4 linked regions of the Danio rerio genome follow. The protein of the gene in region 1 binds, or shares a complex with, the protein of each later gene. Links are inferred from orthologs where the notes say so. Each region holds a gene or a part of one and is shown on either strand. Other genes may lie near its edges.

The links.
Region 2: ints1 (region 1) and ints12 share a complex: the UniProt entries of both Homo sapiens proteins name them as parts of the integrator complex. The link is inferred for Danio rerio from reciprocal best matches to the Homo sapiens genes INTS1 and INTS12.
Region 3: the proteins of ints1 (region 1) and ints7 are in contact, whole or in part, in a cryo-EM structure (PDB 8RC4), measured with the Homo sapiens proteins. The link is inferred for Danio rerio from reciprocal best matches to the Homo sapiens genes INTS1 and INTS7. Residues at the interface, in NP_001073922.2 of Homo sapiens: Leu1378, Gln1381, Gln1382, Gly1385, Gln1386, Ala1389, His1429, Phe1430, Leu1431, Cys1433, Pro1434, Arg1437, Gln1438, Cys1440, Gln1441, Pro1476, Ala1479, Gln1480, Met1483, Leu1484, Gln1487, Arg1552, Pro1554, His1555, Leu1556, Glu1557, Glu1558, Pro1613, Ser1614, Gly1616; in NP_056249.1 of Homo sapiens: His150, Asp151, Leu187, Ala188, Thr189, Pro190, Val191, Lys194, Thr223, Ser224, Tyr225, Pro226, Ser227, Thr228, Asn262, Asp263, Pro264, Arg265, Lys266, Pro303, Tyr304, Gln349, Glu350, Cys352, Tyr353, His354, Asn355, Arg357, Ala360, Gln384.
Region 4: the proteins of ints1 (region 1) and ints2 are in contact, whole or in part, in a cryo-EM structure (PDB 8RC4), measured with the Homo sapiens proteins. The link is inferred for Danio rerio from reciprocal best matches to the Homo sapiens genes INTS1 and INTS2. Residues at the interface, in NP_001073922.2 of Homo sapiens: Gly561, Ile562, Ala563, Trp564, Asp565, Lys566, Gly567, Ser982, His1055, Met1056, Thr1058, Pro1060, Glu1095, Arg1096, Thr1098, Ile1099, His1102, Leu1107, Arg1225, Ser1250, Phe1251, Gly1252, Ile1253, Tyr1285, His1288, Glu1291, Val1292, Gln1293, Glu1295, Arg1296; in NP_065799.2 of Homo sapiens: Pro40, Leu54, Lys69, Leu72, Arg73, Leu75, Ser76, Gly77, Val78, Glu79, Val81, Asn82, Val85, Gly125, Thr127, Leu128, Glu131, His132, Glu166, Val172, Tyr173, Glu176, Arg322, Gln325, Gln326, Arg329, Gly400, Lys402, Thr769, Met772.

Annotation. Positions count from the first base shown.
Region 1 is NC_133178.1:42,059,836-42,064,556, reverse strand, and holds part of ints1 (integrator complex subunit 1), read right to left. Parts: intron 1,692-4,721; coding exon 1,512-1,691; intron 963-1,511; coding exon 813-962; intron 732-812; coding exon 552-731; intron 455-551; coding exon 350-454; intron 1-349. UniProt on the Homo sapiens protein: Component of the integrator complex, a multiprotein complex that terminates RNA polymerase II (Pol II) transcription in the promoter-proximal region of genes.
Region 2 is NC_133176.1:28,085,136-28,089,290, forward strand, and holds the end of ints12 (integrator complex subunit 12), read right to left. Parts: intron 1,634-4,155; coding exon 1,492-1,633; coding exon of another isoform or gene 1,315-1,491; coding exon 1,010-1,314; 3' UTR 806-1,009; downstream 1-805. UniProt on the Homo sapiens protein: Component of the integrator complex, a multiprotein complex that terminates RNA polymerase II (Pol II) transcription in the promoter-proximal region of genes.
Region 3 is NC_133195.1:14,373,462-14,378,662, forward strand, and holds the start of ints7 (integrator complex subunit 7), read right to left. Parts: upstream 3,167-5,201; 5' UTR 3,069-3,166; coding exon 2,975-3,068; intron 1,246-2,974; coding exon 1,116-1,245; intron 1-1,115. Other genes in the region: dtl (denticleless protein homolog), read left to right, coding at 4,507-4,561, 4,638-4,763, 4,861-4,953. UniProt on the Homo sapiens protein: Component of the integrator complex, a multiprotein complex that terminates RNA polymerase II (Pol II) transcription in the promoter-proximal region of genes.
Region 4 is NC_133185.1:32,946,289-32,951,527, forward strand, and holds the start of ints2 (integrator complex subunit 2), read right to left. Parts: upstream 3,283-5,239; 5' UTR 2,905-3,282; intron 1,757-2,904; 5' UTR 1,753-1,756; coding exon 1,460-1,752; intron 1,303-1,459; coding exon 1,164-1,302; intron 1-1,163. UniProt on the Homo sapiens protein: Component of the integrator complex, a multiprotein complex that terminates RNA polymerase II (Pol II) transcription in the promoter-proximal region of genes.

The sequences.
Region 1 (4,721 bases):
TAGGGACAGAGAAGCTCAGAGAGGTAAAGTGGTGCAGCACCGTTCACTTACTTAAAAACAAATAAAAGCAAATTAAAATGGGTCCTGAAATGCACAGGCAGCCAGTGAAGTGAGAATAAAACCAGGGTTATGTGCTCGTATTTGCGTGTGCCAGTTAAAATACGGGCAGCTGCATTCTGAACAAGTTGCAGTCGAGAAATAAAACACAGTTGGGTTTGGTTGGTGCTAGTTGGTAGTGTTGGCTTGGTGTGTCCTGGCTCTAATTAAAAAAAAGAGTGTTCTAACACATCACACACAGAAGAAACTGAGCAAAATTCAAACCGATTAAAACCTGCAGATTTACACTAACCAAGGCTAGGTCATTGTGGAGGGACTGCTCTTCTATTGGTGCATGCTGGGAAAGGTAAATCAGGTATGCACTGATGGTTTGAGGATCCGTCTCCACGTGAATGGCCTGGAAAAAAAGGAAAACCATGCACACACTTTAAGTTCAGCAAGTCACAGGTACTGATAAACTTATATTTGTGTAGGATTTGTGTAGGTGGACTAACCTGCTGCAAAGCACTGGCCGTTAAGCCTCTCACGCTGTCAAACAGAGGCAGTTTAGGAAGGTCCTGAAGGAGCCACTGGTAGCTTGGCAGTAACTCTGCATCTCTGGAGTCCTCCTCCATGAGATGATCCCTGTCCTCTCCATCTTTCAATCCGCCCTCCGTCAGCACCAGGGACAATCCCTGATATGCACATCATAATTCACCATATCACACAAGTGTGTAAAGAACCATGCTTAGTTAGATGGAAAATGAACTCTGTACCTTTATGGCCAACACTCTTGAAGCCACTTGAGAAGAGCTTAGACGCCGGAGAAAGTAGTCCAAGACCTCACATGTGGTCTGTTTATCAGCCTTAGACCCCAGCAGAAGGTCCTGCAGCCGCCCAAGAAGCTGCCTCTGTTTTTGCTGCCGCTAACACAAACAAAAAAGCAAGAAAATTATTAATTTTTGTTTTTACAAAATACATGTTTTCAAAACTATGCAGCATATTTGTGTGCTTTCAACTTTCAGTAGTCAATACTTAAGACCTAAATGTCACGTGATCCTTCAGATGTCAATCAAATGTACATATTTGATGTTCAGGAAATATTTTCCATAATTATTATTATTTAAAGCAGTTGGGCAGATTAGAGATACAGTAAAAGTACAAGATTTAATTGAAATAATTCATTTGTAAATGTTATAAATTCCTTTATTTAGATCAATGTAATATGCCTTTGTTAAATAACAGTATTCCTTTAAAAAAAAGAGTATATAGTTGTATTAAACTATTGAGTAATTAGTTGGATTATTTTCTTTTAATATAGCATAATTGTTTGAACCACTCTATTACACCATACTGTAAACTACTATGGGTCATGTAAAATTAAACATTGGTTTAAGACACCACCATTGATATTGCAAGATGATAACAAAAAACAAAAACATTCAAACAATAACCAATGCCGTAATCATTTTTACCTGTCTTTTCTTTGCTCTCTGTTCTTTGCTTTCTCCTTCCTCTTCATCATCAGCAGAAGAGGCATCATCTGCTGCATCATGGAGGAGAAATTCACACAGGCACTGAACGGGCAGCACATCTAAGGAGCCTTCGCTGGACTGGACAAGATCAGCCAGCCACGGCATAGACTGAGAAGAAGCCTGAATAAAGGACAAACCTTCAATTAAGAGGATCTGCGATTACACAAGACCTTGAAAAGCCATAATCATAAAGCCATAATACAAAAGTCATAATATTACATCACACTTTACAGCCTAAAAAATAAAAAAAATGTTACATTTCAAATGGAAAACCCCATGTGGGTCCAATATGGGCAAAAGAAATTAATTACATACCCTTTGCCTATGTAAGTAATGAGCATTAAGTATCTGTCTATATAAAGACATCATATAAATAATGTATATAGACAGACATGGGAAATAGAGAGATGGGTATTTATACAACAATTCTGTCTGGTTCTCAAATCTAATTGGCTGATAACTGTGCGATATTCTGCAATATCAGAACTCCTACAGCCTCTTTACCCTTTGTGTATTACTCCGCCCACATACAGCCAGCAAAAAGCAGACACTACAGATCTAAAGCTTCAAAGATGCTTGCTCAACTGTTTAACTGTCAGCTTATGATATGAATCCAATGTGGAAGAAAGTAGTTCCACATACAAAAGGGTTTTTGAAACTATTCGTGTTTGATTTTGTTTTTATATATACAATTATGCCGTCAAACTGTTGTATAAACGCAATATCACACGACTCGGCCTGTGGCCTTGTGCCATCGAACGCCTCCCATGAGTGCCGATGTACAGCCATATCGCACTGCTACTCGTGTGATATTGCTCATATATATATATATATATAAGGGCTTGACATTAACTTTTTTGATCACCAGCCACTGTGGCTAGTAGTTTTTCAACATTACTAGCCACTTACCACTTTTACTAGCCACAATTTTGCTATAAGGAAAATGTATAATTATATGCATACATTTGATTTTGGCATGCCAAAGTTACGTACTTTACATTTTGTGTAATGTCCACATAAGTCCTCATTCATTTCACTTTTTGTGTGTTGTGTTTGACCTTGCTCAATGAGCATGAGCATATGGGTTATGGTTTCAGTCGCATTCAGATTAGTGTCGCATTGCAATTAGGTCTTGTTTCACAAGGCTTTTCAGGGCTAAACAGCAAGATTTACCTATTTTTTCTCTGGCCACACCAAAACAATAGTCTAACAGTCTCTAGTGGTCTTGAACACCTTAATTAGTTGGATCAGCTCTGTTTGATTAGGGTTGGAGCAAAACTGTGCGCGCGACACTAAAGCCCTTATCAGTCAGTGACAGGGCTGATAGCGGAAAAAATTCCTGAGCCTGAACTTTTTTTCCTTGCCCCTGAGGTGAGTAGGGGTGGGGGTACTATGTATGCAACGCACTTTTAACACATAACTTGTGGGCCCCTGGGCCCAAATATATTAACAGCCTATGTGTAACCCTGATCATCATTATTGTCAAGTGGCTCTTTTTAGACACATGCCAGTAATGTCAGTGACACATGCCAGTGTCAGTGATCTTGTGACATGTGCCAGTAGGTGTCAGTATAAGCACGTTATAAGCACATTAATCTTATAAGTCTCTTTGCTTTAATATTTAAAAATCATTAGGCAAATGACACCTGTTATCTTACATGCATATATGTTATGAGTTTTCAACATGCATTTTATTATAACTTTTTAAAGGATATTATTTAAAATACCTTAAAATGAAAATAAGTTAAATAATAAAATAAATGAATGAATTAAAAACATAGAAAAGTCCATATTGTAGGGAACAAAGGAACTGCCAGGGTGCAATAAACAGTACAACAGATAAGTGTAACCCCTCCCATACATAAGCATGCCACAATAAATTTGACTGACATGTACTGTCAAATGACTATATTATGTACGGAAGTACGACTACGAATACATAAAATAAATGCGTTTAAATTAAAACATCGTGGAGTAGCTCAGCAAATAAACTAACTTGCGACGCAATAAATTAGGTTAAAAGTCGCGTAATGATTAAATATGGTTTTGCTCGTGTTAATTAATGTCATAAGCTTCGCCGGGTGTCGATGTCACTGCAGTGACATGCAGCGCGACACTCTGAGTGACACAGGTCACTACACATGCCACTAGCGAGTGACACATGACAGTGGAAACCCGGACGTGCCACCAGTGGCGTAGCGCAAAATGCAGAGGCCCCCCTGCAGGGATCGCTGACGGGGCCCCCTGATGAAGGGGGGGGGGGATACGTCACACGTCAATTTGCATATCACTGGCGTCATCACGTTCTACCGTTTCTGTTTGTTTAACAGCCTATGGTTAATAAAGGGGTATTTATAATTGCACTACACTTTATATAAGCATGTTTATTTAACTAAATGTATTGCTGTTTGAATACAGTATGTCATTATAGATATGTAGTGAATGTGCAGTAATCTCTCATATGTAATAAACTCAGACAAGTTCAGAAACTGTCACTAAAATATCTGTGATTGTGAACAAGAAAAGAATAAACGGTCCAATTAAATTGTTAAAATAAAGTAGCAGTACATCGGTTTGACTGTACAAGGGAAATACCTTCACACTGCCTGTGCTAAATCATTTGTCGTCGGTACGCAGAGGGGTGATCTGCTCTCGGGCTGCAGGTGGGAGAGGCTGCTGTATGAGGACTGACTGGGCCGCCTGTCAGTGCTGTGAGGCGAGGGAGGGGCCGGCGGCATCACACGCAGCTCGTTGAGAAGAGTAGGGACGGTACAGTATGGACAAATGACAGTCTAAAAAAATCTCCAATAACACAAAAAAAAGTCGCTAGATTTGTCGCTAAGGGGGTCTGAAAAGTCGCTAAATCTAGTGACAAAGTCGCTAAGTTGGCAACATTGGCGGCAAGCAATCAGAATGAAGTAGTCCACCGCTTGAGAGGTGTTCAGAGAACACAGACCTGTGAACTTTGGTTCCGACCACAGTTGTTCCCAAGAGTTTGATTATTGCGTTCGCCGGTGGATTTTTAATTATTGAAAATCACGACGACGCGGGGCCCCCTAATCACGCGGGGCCCCCCCGCGGTGCGTGCCCTGCGGGCCCGTCCGCTACGCCACTGCGTGCCACCGGAAGTGTCACTACACTCAGTGGCAT
Region 2 (4,155 bases), on another chromosome or scaffold:
AAAAATTGAAATTCTGTTATGATTGTTGCAACCCACTGAGACCTGTTCGTTTTGGACCACAAATAAATATATTTTATGAAATTCAAGAGCAAGTCCAGAAAAGAAATAATAAATAATTTGCAAAAATATTTGCAAAACTATCCCAGGGTTTCTGCAGGTTTCACAAAGTAAATTTAAAGATTTTTTAAGACCATAATGAATGAAGTTACAGACTCATACATGAGTTTTTTTCTAATAGCCCAGTTGGTCCAGCGCTAAAAACTAGGTCATTGTCCTCACCATATGGGCTATAAATACACAGAGATCCTTTAAACAAACATTACTGTAGGGATGAAAATTAAACCATACTGGCAAATAGAGTTATATTAAGTTTTGTTAAAAGTGATTAGTTAGCTTTACATGGACATAGGAAAATTAAGACATGGTCAAAATTGAGACCTAAATTCCAGGTGACTATAGCGGTAAAACAGTAATCATACGAAACTCCAAATATATTTCTTTTCTCCCAAAAAAAAAAAAAAAAAGAAAAGAAAAAAAATGGCTGTTTGTCTATTTCTTTGACATCAGGTCAGGGTGTGTGCTAACTACGAGCATTACGATGCTGTGTGTTGCGCCTCTGACTCTAACAGCAACACGTCGTCCTACCCTACCCTTAGCAAACATGCATTCTGACAAGAAGAGAAACTTTTTTTAAATTTACATATTTCATTAGCTAGTTTTATTAAAATAAAGCTGTATTTAAGTTGGATGTTTAAAGCCTAATTTAATCTCTGACCTGTATTCAAAAAAAAAAAAAAAACAAGAATTTCTTTTTTAAAAAAGGTGTTATTTATTCAACACATCATTAAAAGGAGCAGCTTGTTTTCAGTAATGTGGCTGGTTTAGAAAGAAAGAGACACATTTCCAAACCAAAGCGCTTCAGAACGACCAGTAACATTTAAATTCAAGTATGCGATCTGAAAACAGGATTTGACGTGCTCTTTATCGTGACATTCTGCCTACTTCCTCCTCATTTCTTCAGTTTTTTCTGTGCCGCTTTCTTCTTCACCATCTGCAGGCGTTTCATAGCATTGAGCTGAGACTCTTGGGAAGTGGGTGCCTTGCCATCAGCTGAGGCTTTTGCTCCGTTGTTGTTGTTGTTGCCACTGCTGCTGCTACTCCCAGCACTATTGCCACCGTTGCCCGCTCCATTGCCTCCTGACCCACCATTGCCACCCAGGCTGCTAGAAGGTGCAGCTCCAGGTGACAATGATCCCGTCACAGTCATTTTCCCCAAACTATCTCCACTCGCTGAGCGGCTCAACACCTGTTTACCTAGAGTAAGCGGAGGAGGTGCTTTTAAGGGTACTGTACCAGAGCCATTGTTTCCATTGCCACTTCCGGCACTGCTTCCTCCTGAAGGTTTAGTGGCCAGAGCTGGTTTAACATTGGCCAGAGCAGAGAGACCCACAGGTTTGGAGCCTGAGGCAGCTGGGGATGTTTTACTGTTACCTGATTGACTGGTGCTTAACTTGGTGCTGGAAGGTCCTACATTTGAGGTTGCCTTGGTGAAGGCGGCCCATCCTGTAAGACCCGGAGGCAAAGACGAGCTGCTGCTACTGCTGCTGGATGAGTTTCCTGATGCTGCAGTTGCCTGCACAGGGAAAAAAAGATTTTTAAATAAATAATAGAGATGTATTATAAGAAAAAAAGCAGCTTTTTAACATCAAGGGTTTGCACTCTGCAACTCTTATTAAATTGTGTACTTAAAGTCTTACAATGCACTCATGTCATGACACAAGTCATGCTAAAATACTACAATGATCTTTATCAGACATATGATCATAAGACAAATGATGAAAAGTGAACTAAAATCTACTGTTGATTTAAAATGTACATTTGTGGATTCAAAAAGTGTGGGAACTGTATGAAATGGAACAAATAACATAAGAACAGACTACAGTAGTCAACATTCAAAGTGAATTAAAAACGTTTTTCAAAATCGTCCTAGGACAGGAATGGGTGTTGTTCAATAGTTTTGAGACAACTTTGGTAAAAGGTGATGATCCACTTCAAATGTTGACTACTGTATATGCACAACTAGTGTTTTTCAGCCAATGATGAACTTCTAGTGGGAGCTTTATTTTTACTGTTTTTAATTTCATAAGGTTCCTTTTACAGTTTCAATGTTGTAATTTAATTCAAATATAATCAGTTAAATTGACTTCAGCATTCATTTGGTTGCTAAAGCGTAAAAAGAGACAAAAGAAAGTAATTAGCAGCAAGCTAGCACAGACACTCCATTGAAAATACAACCAGGGATTGAAGATCGCTGTTTTATTTTTTAAAGAAATCAGATCTTAAAGTGAATTTGTATGGGATGATAATAAGATATATGTTCATGTACTTTTAATTTCAGTCAGCCAGCACCAGGGCTTCCGATTAATTGTCATCCCATACAAAATCATAGCATTTAAGATCTGATTTCTTTAAATAAAAACAAAACAGCAAACCTCACCACCTGATTGAGATATGATATAAAGTGGGTGTCAGCCCAAGCAAGAAGCACTGCATTACATTTTTTTTCCCGTGCCATGTCTTTAAAACATGGAAATGTATTTTACCCCAGTATTCTTAATGGAGTGTCTGTGCTAGCTTGCTGCAAATGGCTCGTTTCCACTGACTGGTACAGTACGGTACGGTTCGGGTCAGTACGGGTCACCTTTATCAGGCTTGCGTTTTACTACCAAGGGTACCCTTTTGGTGGGCGTGGTGTATGACAAAGTTTCAGTCGACGTCATTTTCGCTCAAGAAAATGTCTACAATAAAGCTGCACAGGTCGTTCACATATCATTAAACAGATGCTTCTCATAAAACAGATGCTTTACACACAAAAATACTTGTGTATAAATGTTTATTACTAACTTTTCTATAAACAGGAGTTGATTATAACTGCAGATCAATGACAGTGCGAAATAGCCTACTATAACGTCTGTAATTATATTAAATAAATAAATAAATGAACATATATGAACACATACAGCCTCTTACAGTCTCCGATATGTTACCAACTACAGAAGAACTACACAAAGCAGACATTTCGTCGTTAGTTAGGTTCATAACAACACAAAGTATAGCCTAGTCAGTGAAAACCTCTCATCTGTGTCTGTAATCTTCAGCAGCACATGTAGCCTCTGTTAGAGAGTCATTCCATCATTCCCAGTTCATATTAGTCCAAAATGTAATAATAAAGATTTAAAACTAGGCAGTTTGTTCACGTTTGCTGAAGAAATAACGTGCTCCTTGGCTTCGCCGTTTTTTCCGCGCTCCACTCCCGCGTTTGTCCTTTTCTTTCTGAATGTGTCACTCTCGCGTTTGTCAGCTTCTCACAGGATCGGGTTTCCAAAGCTTGTCAATAATCAAGCGCATGTTATTATTATCAGCTAAAGAAGTTAGTTATTTCAGATAACGCGCGTCGAGCGCAAGGAAAAAAAGTGAAACCACTCAGGCTTCAGACTGGCTCGTAAAAAAACTACGCGGCACAGGGTAAATCTGCTCTTCTCCATGGCTTTGTGGCTGTTTAACAAGACGGCGACAGGGTTTGTTTGAGCCCGGATCGACTATGGCTGCATATGTAGATATAATTTTGTGTAATCTCTCGCTGTGTATTTTAAACATGGCAGGTCCTTTGTTTACATTCTGGCTTGTTGAGTCTACAAATGACGTATCTCTATTAACCAATAGCATTCAGCTGCGCATGTAGCTCCACCTTTTGGGACCCTTTCTGCAGTTTGTGACCCTTTCGAAAGGGTGCCGAAAAAGTGGTACGGTACGGTTTGGTTCGGTATGCCTTTTGACAGTGGAAATGGCCATAAAAGCGTACCAAAACGAACCGTACCGTACCACTCAGTGGAAACGGGCCATAACAGTGCCTGGGGTTTAAATGGTCTTTCGCCTGTTTTTACGCTTTTATAAAAATAAGTTTTAAAAAAATGTAAATTTGTGTAGACTTGGTGTTTTAGACATGAATAGACTTGAACTTGTTTCGGTTTGCCATTGCACAGGGCTAAAGCGACACCAAAATACTTTTTTGTTCAAACCTTAATATTGTTCATGTTTATAAGTGTGTTCTCCAGAAGTACATAATAAGCTTAGAAATTTGAGATGTGTGTAATT
Region 3 (5,201 bases), on another chromosome or scaffold:
TTTGACTAGTCGAATTATAATTATGACTAGTCAAAATATAATTAGAGATATCTCTAAATATATTTATGAATAGTCAGATCAAAGGTTTAAATGCTAAAACGGCTTGCCATACGCGCGCGTCTATCATAGTCCGCCCTCTGTAGTAACAGCTCACGTCATGTGTGATTTTGCGGCCGCCAATACATCATTATATGAAGACAGAATGATATTTTAGGGTGAATTGTACCTTATAAATACAGTATGTGACTCTTTCAACACCATTAGGAGGTATCCATGTCGCTGTGCAAAGTATGTAAATCACTGTGAAGACTTTAAAACTTAGGATGTTTGACCCAGTATGCGTGTCAAAAAGCGGACGAGTCTAAAGCAATGACTGTACAACCGAAATGTTGCCAGACGTCTGATTTTGAGAGGATGGGCCATCCTCTATATCAGCTCCACTCATCTTGGTCTGCTAACATTACTGCTGCTGCAATCTGAACTCACGTGCGACAGCAGGTGGAACGTAGCTCACGTGCAAACAGCTCAACTAATAAGAGAAAACGGACGTCATATCGTAATCAAATCGTCATAACACCACGATGCATAGAGACATTTTTGCATTGCAATAAATCGTACAACGATAAATCGTTACATCCCTAATCACGATATATTTTGGTAATTTTCCCCCTAAATAAAATTTAGCCAGATCCGCACAACATACCTCTAAATAAATAAGGGTGCTGACGTATGTAGCCTACCTATATTTAGCAACCCTATTTAATAGAGCGGCATAACAGTGCTAGTCACATGGTTGCTTTCACTTTTATGAACATGAAAAAAACTAGTTTCGGCTATTATTTAAATTTAATTGAACAAAGGGAGCTGTTTACATTGCGTTAACCAAGGCAACTACTGATGCGGTTTGTGTAATGTTTTTAAAGAGCTTTGTCGCAGCAGGACAGTGGAAAATGAAACCGTATCCGTCCTGTCTGGCCTGGTTTGGCACGGAATGGAACGGTTCTGCTTAAAGAACGATTCAGCACGATAGTGGAAAAGCAGCTATTGACAATTTTGTTACCATATCTAAACTATTAAACATGACATAATTCGTATGTATTTATATGTGCAATTACCCAAGTCTGAAGATATCTGCCAGCTTCAGGAAGGCAGAGTTGATGAGGATGGGGAACGGGTATTTCTGGAAGAGTTTGGGAAAAAGGACCACGGCTTCACACTGCTCGCCCAGTTTACAAGACCGTAAACCTGGAGCAAAGACAAAATCAGAAGTGTGTGAGTAAAAGGAATGATTCACGCTCAAATATGTATGTTTTTTATTCATACTCTGTAAAAATGTTGGGTTCCACAATAGCATGAATGGATTAAGTTATATTATTAGATTTTACAAATTTTAGTTGATTGAATCTAAAACAACTAAGTGTTCCCAAAATAAAACTTAACAATTGTGTTGTTTCTGTTAATTTTAAATAAATGAACAAACAGCATACATTTGTCAAGTTACTCTATAACGATGGTTTGTTTTGTAGACTATCGGAAAAATATATAGCTTAAAGGGCCTAGTAATTTTTACCTTAAAATGTTTCTTAAAAATATAAAAACTGCTTTTATTCTTACTGAAATAAAACAAATAAGACTTTCTCAAAAAGAAAAAAATATATTATCAGACATACTGTGAAAGTTTTCTTGCTCTGTTAAACACTATTCTGGAAAAAAAAAAATAACAATTCAAATGGGGGCTATTAATGCTGACTTCAACTGTATTGCTTTTTTAGTGTCACATCCTTTGTTTGTTTTCTAAACCCATTTCAGTTTTATTACTCTGTCGAACACTAAAGAAGATATTTTAAAACCTGAACCACACTGTTCCAGTTACTATGACCATTTATGTGAAGCTGCTTTGACACAATGTACATTGTAAAAGCGCTATACAAATAAAGCTGAATTGAATTGAATTGAATATTTTGAAAAAAGCTGTAAACCTGTAACTATTGACCTACATTTGTTGTCCTACTGTGGAAGTCAAAGGTTACTGATTTTGAACATTGTTCAAAGTATCTTCTTTTGTGTTTGCAGCATGCTTTTTTATATAATTTAAGCACTTTTCAGATGCACATTTTTTGAATGCATGTGTATGTAAATGTGTGGCATATTACACATTTACATACACACACATGCTTTATTACATTTTATCAGATTCTATTCATAAGATTTTTTTTTATATGAATGTCATTTACTTAAATCTTAGATGTATCTAATTTCATCTTATACTCAAGGAGTGCAGACAAAATAAGATAGAAGGCAGATCATGCTACAGGCTTATGTACAGACCCCAGATTTTCATTTTATGCACAAGCAATGAGAGTTATTATACTTTTATTTAAACAGTAATTTTCACTGTTATTACCCGTTTAATAAGACAGGTAAAGTTGGTTTTATATTCGTACATTTGTTCATTGACAACTTGTGACACGCTCCCTATAGCGTTTACCATGGTACTTTGAATATTCAGTATAAAATCACATGTAAGTGTGACTTCAAAACAACATAAGCACAATTTTTTGACTGTAAACAATGTTGTACGTTCAGTAAGATCAATGATTATGAAAGCAATGCAATTACTTTCCAAGCACTTCATCCATAATCTAAGCACTTTTTAGACCTTAGTAGTTTAAAATTAAAGCATTTTATCACCCGTGTGGCGTGTGCAAAGAAGAAGAAACTCATAAAAGTCAAACTACTTGACGGTTGCGTAAATTCTGGATCTTTCCATAACATATGTTACATCCCTAAAACATTCTGTAAAAATGAAAACAAAGCACAGTATAGACTAAAGTACAGTAGTAGCCTACATAATAAAATTATAGAAGAGCTTTTTCATGCGAACAGATACAATGTATGATATTCAACATTAAAATAGCACACACACACACTGCATCAAAAAACAAATACACGTGTGTTGTTTATAAAGAGCCACCTTTATCGAGCTCCATCAGCGCTGAATTGGCGTCCAGCTCCTGCTCGCCGTATGCCGCCTCCGAAAGAAACGAACGCGCTGCTGAAAGCGACATTGTTTATTATTAGACTGCAAAAAATGTAACCCGATAGACTGCTCTCGGATTTAACACTTTATTTGTTTTATCAGATGGAGATTTTGTGCATTAAGTTTGAAGTGTGACCCGGTTGTAAAGCAGGTCACGTGACGCACAACGCCAGTTTCGTCGTCGGGTTTCCGTTGCGCTACAAGGAACGCTAGAAGCGAAAGCGACCCAAAGAGGTGACCAAAGAAGGCGGGGCTTATGAGTCGGCATTTACCCTGATTAGTCTAAACCTCTGCTCAGCTTTTAGGCTCTTCATGCTATCATAATTTTTATTTAATCATTTGCAAAATTATATATATATATATATATATATATATATATATATATATATATATATATATATATATATATATATATATATATATATATATATATATATATATATATATATATATATATATATATATATATATATATATATATATATATATATATATATATATATTATTGCTTGCTATCAGAACAAAATCCAAAGGATCCCAGAGATCACTTTAAAATGATCAATAGTATACACAGTCATAAAAATTATCACAAACACATACAAATAACATATCATTAGACTGAAAGGGAAAATATTAATAATTATAATATTAATAATAATAAAATTATGATAATAACAAAATTACTAAATTAAACAAACTAAATTAAACAAATGAATGAAATTACAATGACACTTAAACAAATAACCAAAAGGAAAGCAACTAAACTTAAGCATCTCCTACATCTGTATAATATTTCAGGAATTTTAGGGTTTTTTATTCTTAATAAGATTAAGTTTTTGTGTTTCTGTGGCGTTTACATGTTCTTCCAGTGTTTGCGTGGGTTAAAAAAATATATGCTGTAGGTGAACTGGGTAGGCTAAATTTTGTGTGTGTGTGTGTGTGTGTGTGTGTGTGTGTGTGTGTGTGTGTGTGTGTGTGTGTGTGTGTGTGTGTGTTTGTGTGTGTGTGTGAATGAGTGTGTATGGATGTTTACCACTTATGGGTTGCAGCTGGAAGGGCATCCGCTGCGTAAAACCATATTCCGCAGTGGCAACTCCAAAACAATAAAGGTACTAAGCCAAAAAGGAAATAAATGAAATAATGAATATATATATATATATATATATATATATATATATATATATATATATATATATATATATATATATATATATATATATATATATATATATATATATATATATATTGTTAATGTTAATGTTAACCCGGATTTTTTTGGGGCCACATGGCGCCTCTAGTGTTCGCAGCCATTCCACTCCGCTCGCAGTGGCTTAACACTTCCTGTTTCCTGACGTGTCGACCAATTAGAACACTGTTCGTCCATCTCGCGGGGAATTCGTCTTCAGCGCTTTTTCATTGTTCGCGGGAAACTTACCACTTCTGAACGCGACTTGCATCCTGCAGCGATGACTCTTTTTCACCATGTTGTTGATCGAGGGGCTAAAAAAAGAGGACGAAATGGTGAGTTTGCTGAATATACGTTAACCTAAACCAGCGTTATTACACTATTTACACTGAAATACTTTGTAATAATCAGGTGAGCAGCGGCTGTTTCCTCTGTCGTCTCTGCTGGACGGCTATGAATGCGCTCGGCGGGATGAACACATCTCTTATGGAGCCTCCGCTGCTGCCGTGCCGCCATTCGGATGCACATTTTCCTCCGGTAAACATTTATTTCTGCATTCACAATGAGTTCGAAGTCAGTAGTACAGAATTGTGCAAAGACATTATGTTTGTGCTGGTTTGTTTTCTATGTTTAGCTCATGGACAACAAAACTGTCTTGCTGTAGCCAACGAAGAAGGGTTTGTGACCATCTTCAACACTGGAGAAAAACAAAGCTCTGTTCTGAAAGGTTGGCTTCAAGTTTACCTGGAAATATTTTAAAGGTTTAAACTAGTTCGCTTTTGGAAAACCCTATTTCCTATTGGCGTCAAATATAAAATGGGTTGACCGAAATCTCAACAAAAAGTGCAATAAAGCTTTGTGTTTCCCCTGTTAGGAAAATAAAATAGAAAAACATTTTTTTTTGTCATACTGTCATAATTTTTTAAAATCTTGTTTCGGAAATGTCATTCATTGTAACCACACCAAAAAAGTTAA
Region 4 (5,239 bases), on another chromosome or scaffold:
ACACACACACACACACACACACACACACACACACACACACACACACACACACACACACACACACACACACGCACACAATAAAAAACTCTAAGAAAAATTATTTTACAATTACAACATGACTACATTTGTTTGATCAAAAAATTTACAAAACAAAAATATTGTGACAAACACAAAATACTGCAATAAAACTTTAGATTATTTAAAATAGCAACTCTTTATTTTAATATGACTATAAAAAGCTATTCAATCCTGTAATGCAAACATCACATTTGGAATTGGTGCTTAATATTGTTTTTAGTACAATTTTTTTTCTTTTAGAGAATGAAATATAGCGTGTATTTGCACTAAACTTTTCAAATTTAAATTTTTATGTCAGTTTATTGTATCATAATATTTTTAAAATAAAGAATACAATCTTTAGTATAAAAACAAATATTTTAACACTAAAAATGCAGCCATTTTAAAATGCAAAAGACTTATTAAAATGTATTTTAATAAGTTAAGATCATTACGCAAAAATAGGGATGCTTGGATAAGCAGATTAACCAAAAGGATGCAAAAAAATAATATATATATATATATATATATATATATATATATATATATATATATATATATATATATATATATATATATATATATATATATATATATATATATTTTTTTTTTATACTGTATTTTTTATACTGTAAGTTTTTTAAGCTGCATAAATGTACAACACATATTTGTTAACTCACGGGGTGGCAATTACAGACATAGCCTATTTTGTCAAAAAAACTAAATGAAAGGAGAATATGAATGAAGGATATTGATGGTCACAGTTTGACATACGAGTTGTTAAATCTAGGGCAGGCCTATTTATTTTATTCTTTTTTATTCAGTAATTCTTTTTTCTATGCTGTTAAAAACACTACTGCTTGAAGATGTTCTGTTGTTAATATGTTCTGTATGCTGTTGTTTGCACGTTAAAATAAATCAGCTTTTCAAAATGCAATATTTAATGTGTCAGATCCAAAATAGACACCTCAATTCATTTTTGTATTTAAATAATAAGTTCATCCTAATCTGCCCAGTTAACGATTAATATCCGATTAATGAGCGCCGGTTGGGAAAATTACCCGAATGAGCATCCCTATGCAGTAGTAAATAAAAGGACACTGAACCTTGTTCATAATGGCCAGCAGCTCACTTAGAGCCAGTCTGAGTCTCCTGAGAGGATCACTGTGCTCAAACTCCAGAGTCAAACCATGCTGAAGCTGAGACACCAGAATGCTCTCGCCATTAGATCCTCCAGCCTTATGCCTGTGTAAAAGAAAACATGCTTAAATCATCAAATAATCAAGATTGTCTCAATCAGAACATCCTCCTCTCTGAGCCAGACAAAGCTCTCATTTAATGTACGGATGAGCTGAACCTACGGAATGACCACATGAAAGTACTTTCTTTCATCCAGACCCACCTTAGCTGCTGCTCTTTTCTAGCATCCTGCTCCAAAGCATGGAAATCCACAGACAGCAGAGCAACAATGGAGTTCACCGCCTCCACCCCTGACAGCAGCCGCAGGATGAGCTTCTTATCCTGTGCCCAGGCATTGCTCTGATCTGCAGGGGCACAGAGAGCCATCCTGACCAGACAGGGCAGAAGGAGACGCAGCTCTGGGTCACTTAAAGCTGCCAGTCGGGCTACATCCACCTTCTGCATGGCCTCGAATGCATACGGGCTCACAAACTGAAGACTGGCACTGTCTGTCATTCTTCTGCAAAGTGAAAGGACAGGGAAAGGAAACAGTAAGCATTTTTGCTGATTTTTTGTACTAAAATAAGCTACTGGTATCATTATAAAATGAAAATAATAAATGACAACAGTGTTTTCTTGCAAATGCTATAATTTTCTTGTTCAGTGTTGGGAAACGAGATAATTTTAATTTGAGGAAGATCAAAAATCTATGCAAATTAATTTGATATTAAAAAAACTTTTCATGATTTAAAATAACAATTTTATTTTTAATATTTTTCATGATGACAGCCATTTTAAACTTGCTGATGTGTTCAAAAAATATTCATCATCATTGCTAAAATTGTTGCTTATTAATTTTTTTGTGTGAACAATAATACATTTTGTTTAGGATTTCTGATGAATTATTAAGTTATTAATAAGTTAGTTTACTTTATTTGTCCCCATTTCACATTTGGCATATTTAGAAATAAATCATTTAAAAACATGGTTCCCTTACTCTAAATAAACATCCAGTCTACTAGCCATCAACTGCTACAGGGGGAGGAGGAATTTAAAAACTGAATTGCGTGAGGTAATAGTAATATAATGATTTCAAATAACGGATTTATTTGTAATATTTATTTATGATGACAACCCTGACTTGGTGTTTAAAAAAACAACATTGATCAAATTGTTGTTTAATATTCTTTTGTGTGAACATTAATACATTCTGTTTAGTATTTCTGGTGAATTATGAAGTTCTAAAGAACTGTCATTAAGTTGGCAAAAATATCGCAATGCATTTTTGACTTAACATGACAAAAATCACGTTGTGTACATGTATGACAGTAATGCAATGACATTTAAGCATACAGTTAGTCGGTTGTGAATAATATAGTGTTTGAATAAAACAGTACTGCTTTATAAGAGTGCGCTGAATTTTCTTTTGCTTTTAAAACATTATTTTCTGATTATTATTTTAATATTTATTGCTTTAAATGTGTTGAAATTAATATTTAAAACACTTTTAATGCTAACTGTGGGAACTGCCCTCAGATTCACAACACAGCTAACGTTAAGCAGAAACTTATGCTTAATATAACAAACTTTTCGGCTTGCGACTTTATTTAACATCATTGAAAGCAAATAATGCATTTTATATAATGAACAAACCACAATTATCCTTACCTAGACTTCAACAGCGCCGCTGGTTACAAAAGAAACCCGCTGAGGCCTGTAAGACCGCGGTCTGTCGTGATTCTCTCTGAAAAGGAAGTTGATCTTCTTCGGTCGAAATAGGACAGCTCACCGGTAAGCTAACATGCTAGCTGCTAAAGCTATCCTGCTTAAGAGATCCATTCATCCCGATTTAACTAAATGAAGCAATATATTTAAAATAATTATATGCTTAATACAATCCACTTACTCTATATTAAACCCACATGTGTCGGCCAGAGTGCTTAGCAAGCTATAAAGTAGAAAAAGTAATGATTTTAGCACAAGCGATCATCTGCTCCGCTGTGAGCATGCTGAACTCTGGCTGCGTCTCAAATCCTAGTGTGCCGCCTACCTAGAAGCACCATTGTCCGAACACCACAGCCGTGTTCTTCCTCAAATTATGAAAAAACACCAATAAGTGGCACGTTTGAAGCAAAGGTAAAGAATTTACATGTCAAGTGAAAATGGAAATAACATACAAATCACAAAAAGTTACTTATATAACGTTATGTATATAACGGAGAGTAAAGACTTATTTAAGCGTTAATGGGAGTCAGTTTCTGTGAACGCTTTATCCTATTCAACTATTACGTTACCCAAGTTCTAGGTTCAAGAAGTCATTTTCATTTAATTGTTTGATTCATATTTTAAGTGAGTCTAAATGCAATCTATATATAATCTAAATGTAGTATGTGTTGTGATTTTATAGATGTCATTATATCTAGTTTAAACCATGTATTCATAGCAATACCATATCAAACATGAGGCTAGATAAAAATGTCCATAAAGCTAAATGCGATTGTTATTAAGCAAATTAACCTACAAATCATTTTAGAGTGGTTATCTGCGAAATCTGTGTTAAACTTGAGTATATTGCCATTTATAATGCATATTATGATTATGAACATTTCCCCTGGTATATACTCCTACCCTAAATAGATTTTCATGTGAATACCTCACAAATGCAGTGAGGTCTGGCCTTGGCGTGCTTGACCCTAAAGCTGTTTATCAGACTTTTGCATTTGGAAAGCATGTAGATTTGGTGTGGGAAGTAAGAGAAATCCCAGGGTCTTTGAATATCAGCATACAGTTTATTCTGAACAGAGTAAGATAGAGGAAATTGATCTTTCTCTGTGCACAAACACTGCATTTCCAACAGCCACCCAGATCGTTCATCAAAGTCCGTTTACACCACATTTCTGTCACTCTCAAAGAAAACTGGTTCTTGTCTAAAAGTGTCCATTATCACTCGAAATTGGTGCAAAAAGGAGGAGCCAATGGGGTGGATGCGAAAGCTGAAGCAAATTTTTAGGTGTTTTTATGCCTTCATGAAACATCCCAACATCCCCACCCAAAAAACACAGGAAAAACATGAAGTTGACTCTTTTTATTCCTAAAACAGAAGCAGTGCCACCCAATGCTGGTGCGGCATTCATATATAATTATTTATATATTGCAGTTTTTCGTTTTTGTGTCTAAATGTGTGGTATAAAATACAATATACGACAATGTACCTCTTTATTTTTAAACACAGTGAACTTCATTGCTGTACAAGTCCCGTGCAGCTAAAGCTTAGCTGTAATTTTGTCCACGCGCAAAGGCGCGGACTGAAACCCCCTATCCAGTCTCCTCTGTACATCGTGACAATACAAATAATCTGTGTCTCCCTTACAAAAAATAATACTCTAAAAGCAACCTACCGCAACTTTATTTTATTCATCTTTTTAGTGGGTTTTTTTCCGTTTGATGGTTCGTTTTTGTAATTAAGACGATTACATATATTTTTGACCAATTGCTTTAAAGCAGGAAGGCGATACAAACCTTCTAGAACTTTTATATATAAAAGAGGTTAAGAAATCAGACAAATTATACATTTAAAAACTTACAATAAATAAGACAGATGCAGGCATTTCATTTGGATATAATCCCATCCAAAAGAAACAGGGAATTAGAGGTCTTAAAACCAAGAATTCATTCTCATTTCAAAGAGCATCAAAAGTCCCTTTCCATCAGATTCTATACAGATAACTCCTCCATACACGTTGATTAAAGAACTGGCCGAATCCGTGCTAACCGAGGAACCGCGCGCTACCATTGCTTGTAGCATCCGTTGAACCTGGGATGTCGAACACCAGCAGTCAGCACTTCCATCTTCCTTCTTTGGCCTCTGCATTCTCCTTCAAGGCCTCTCGTTGTCTTCGAGTGAGTGTTATGAACACCAGACGCCTGATCCTCCTCCACAGTGCTGGGTCTGAGGTGTAGTGACTGCCTACCCAGATCGTATCTCGCGCACTTATAAAGTCCA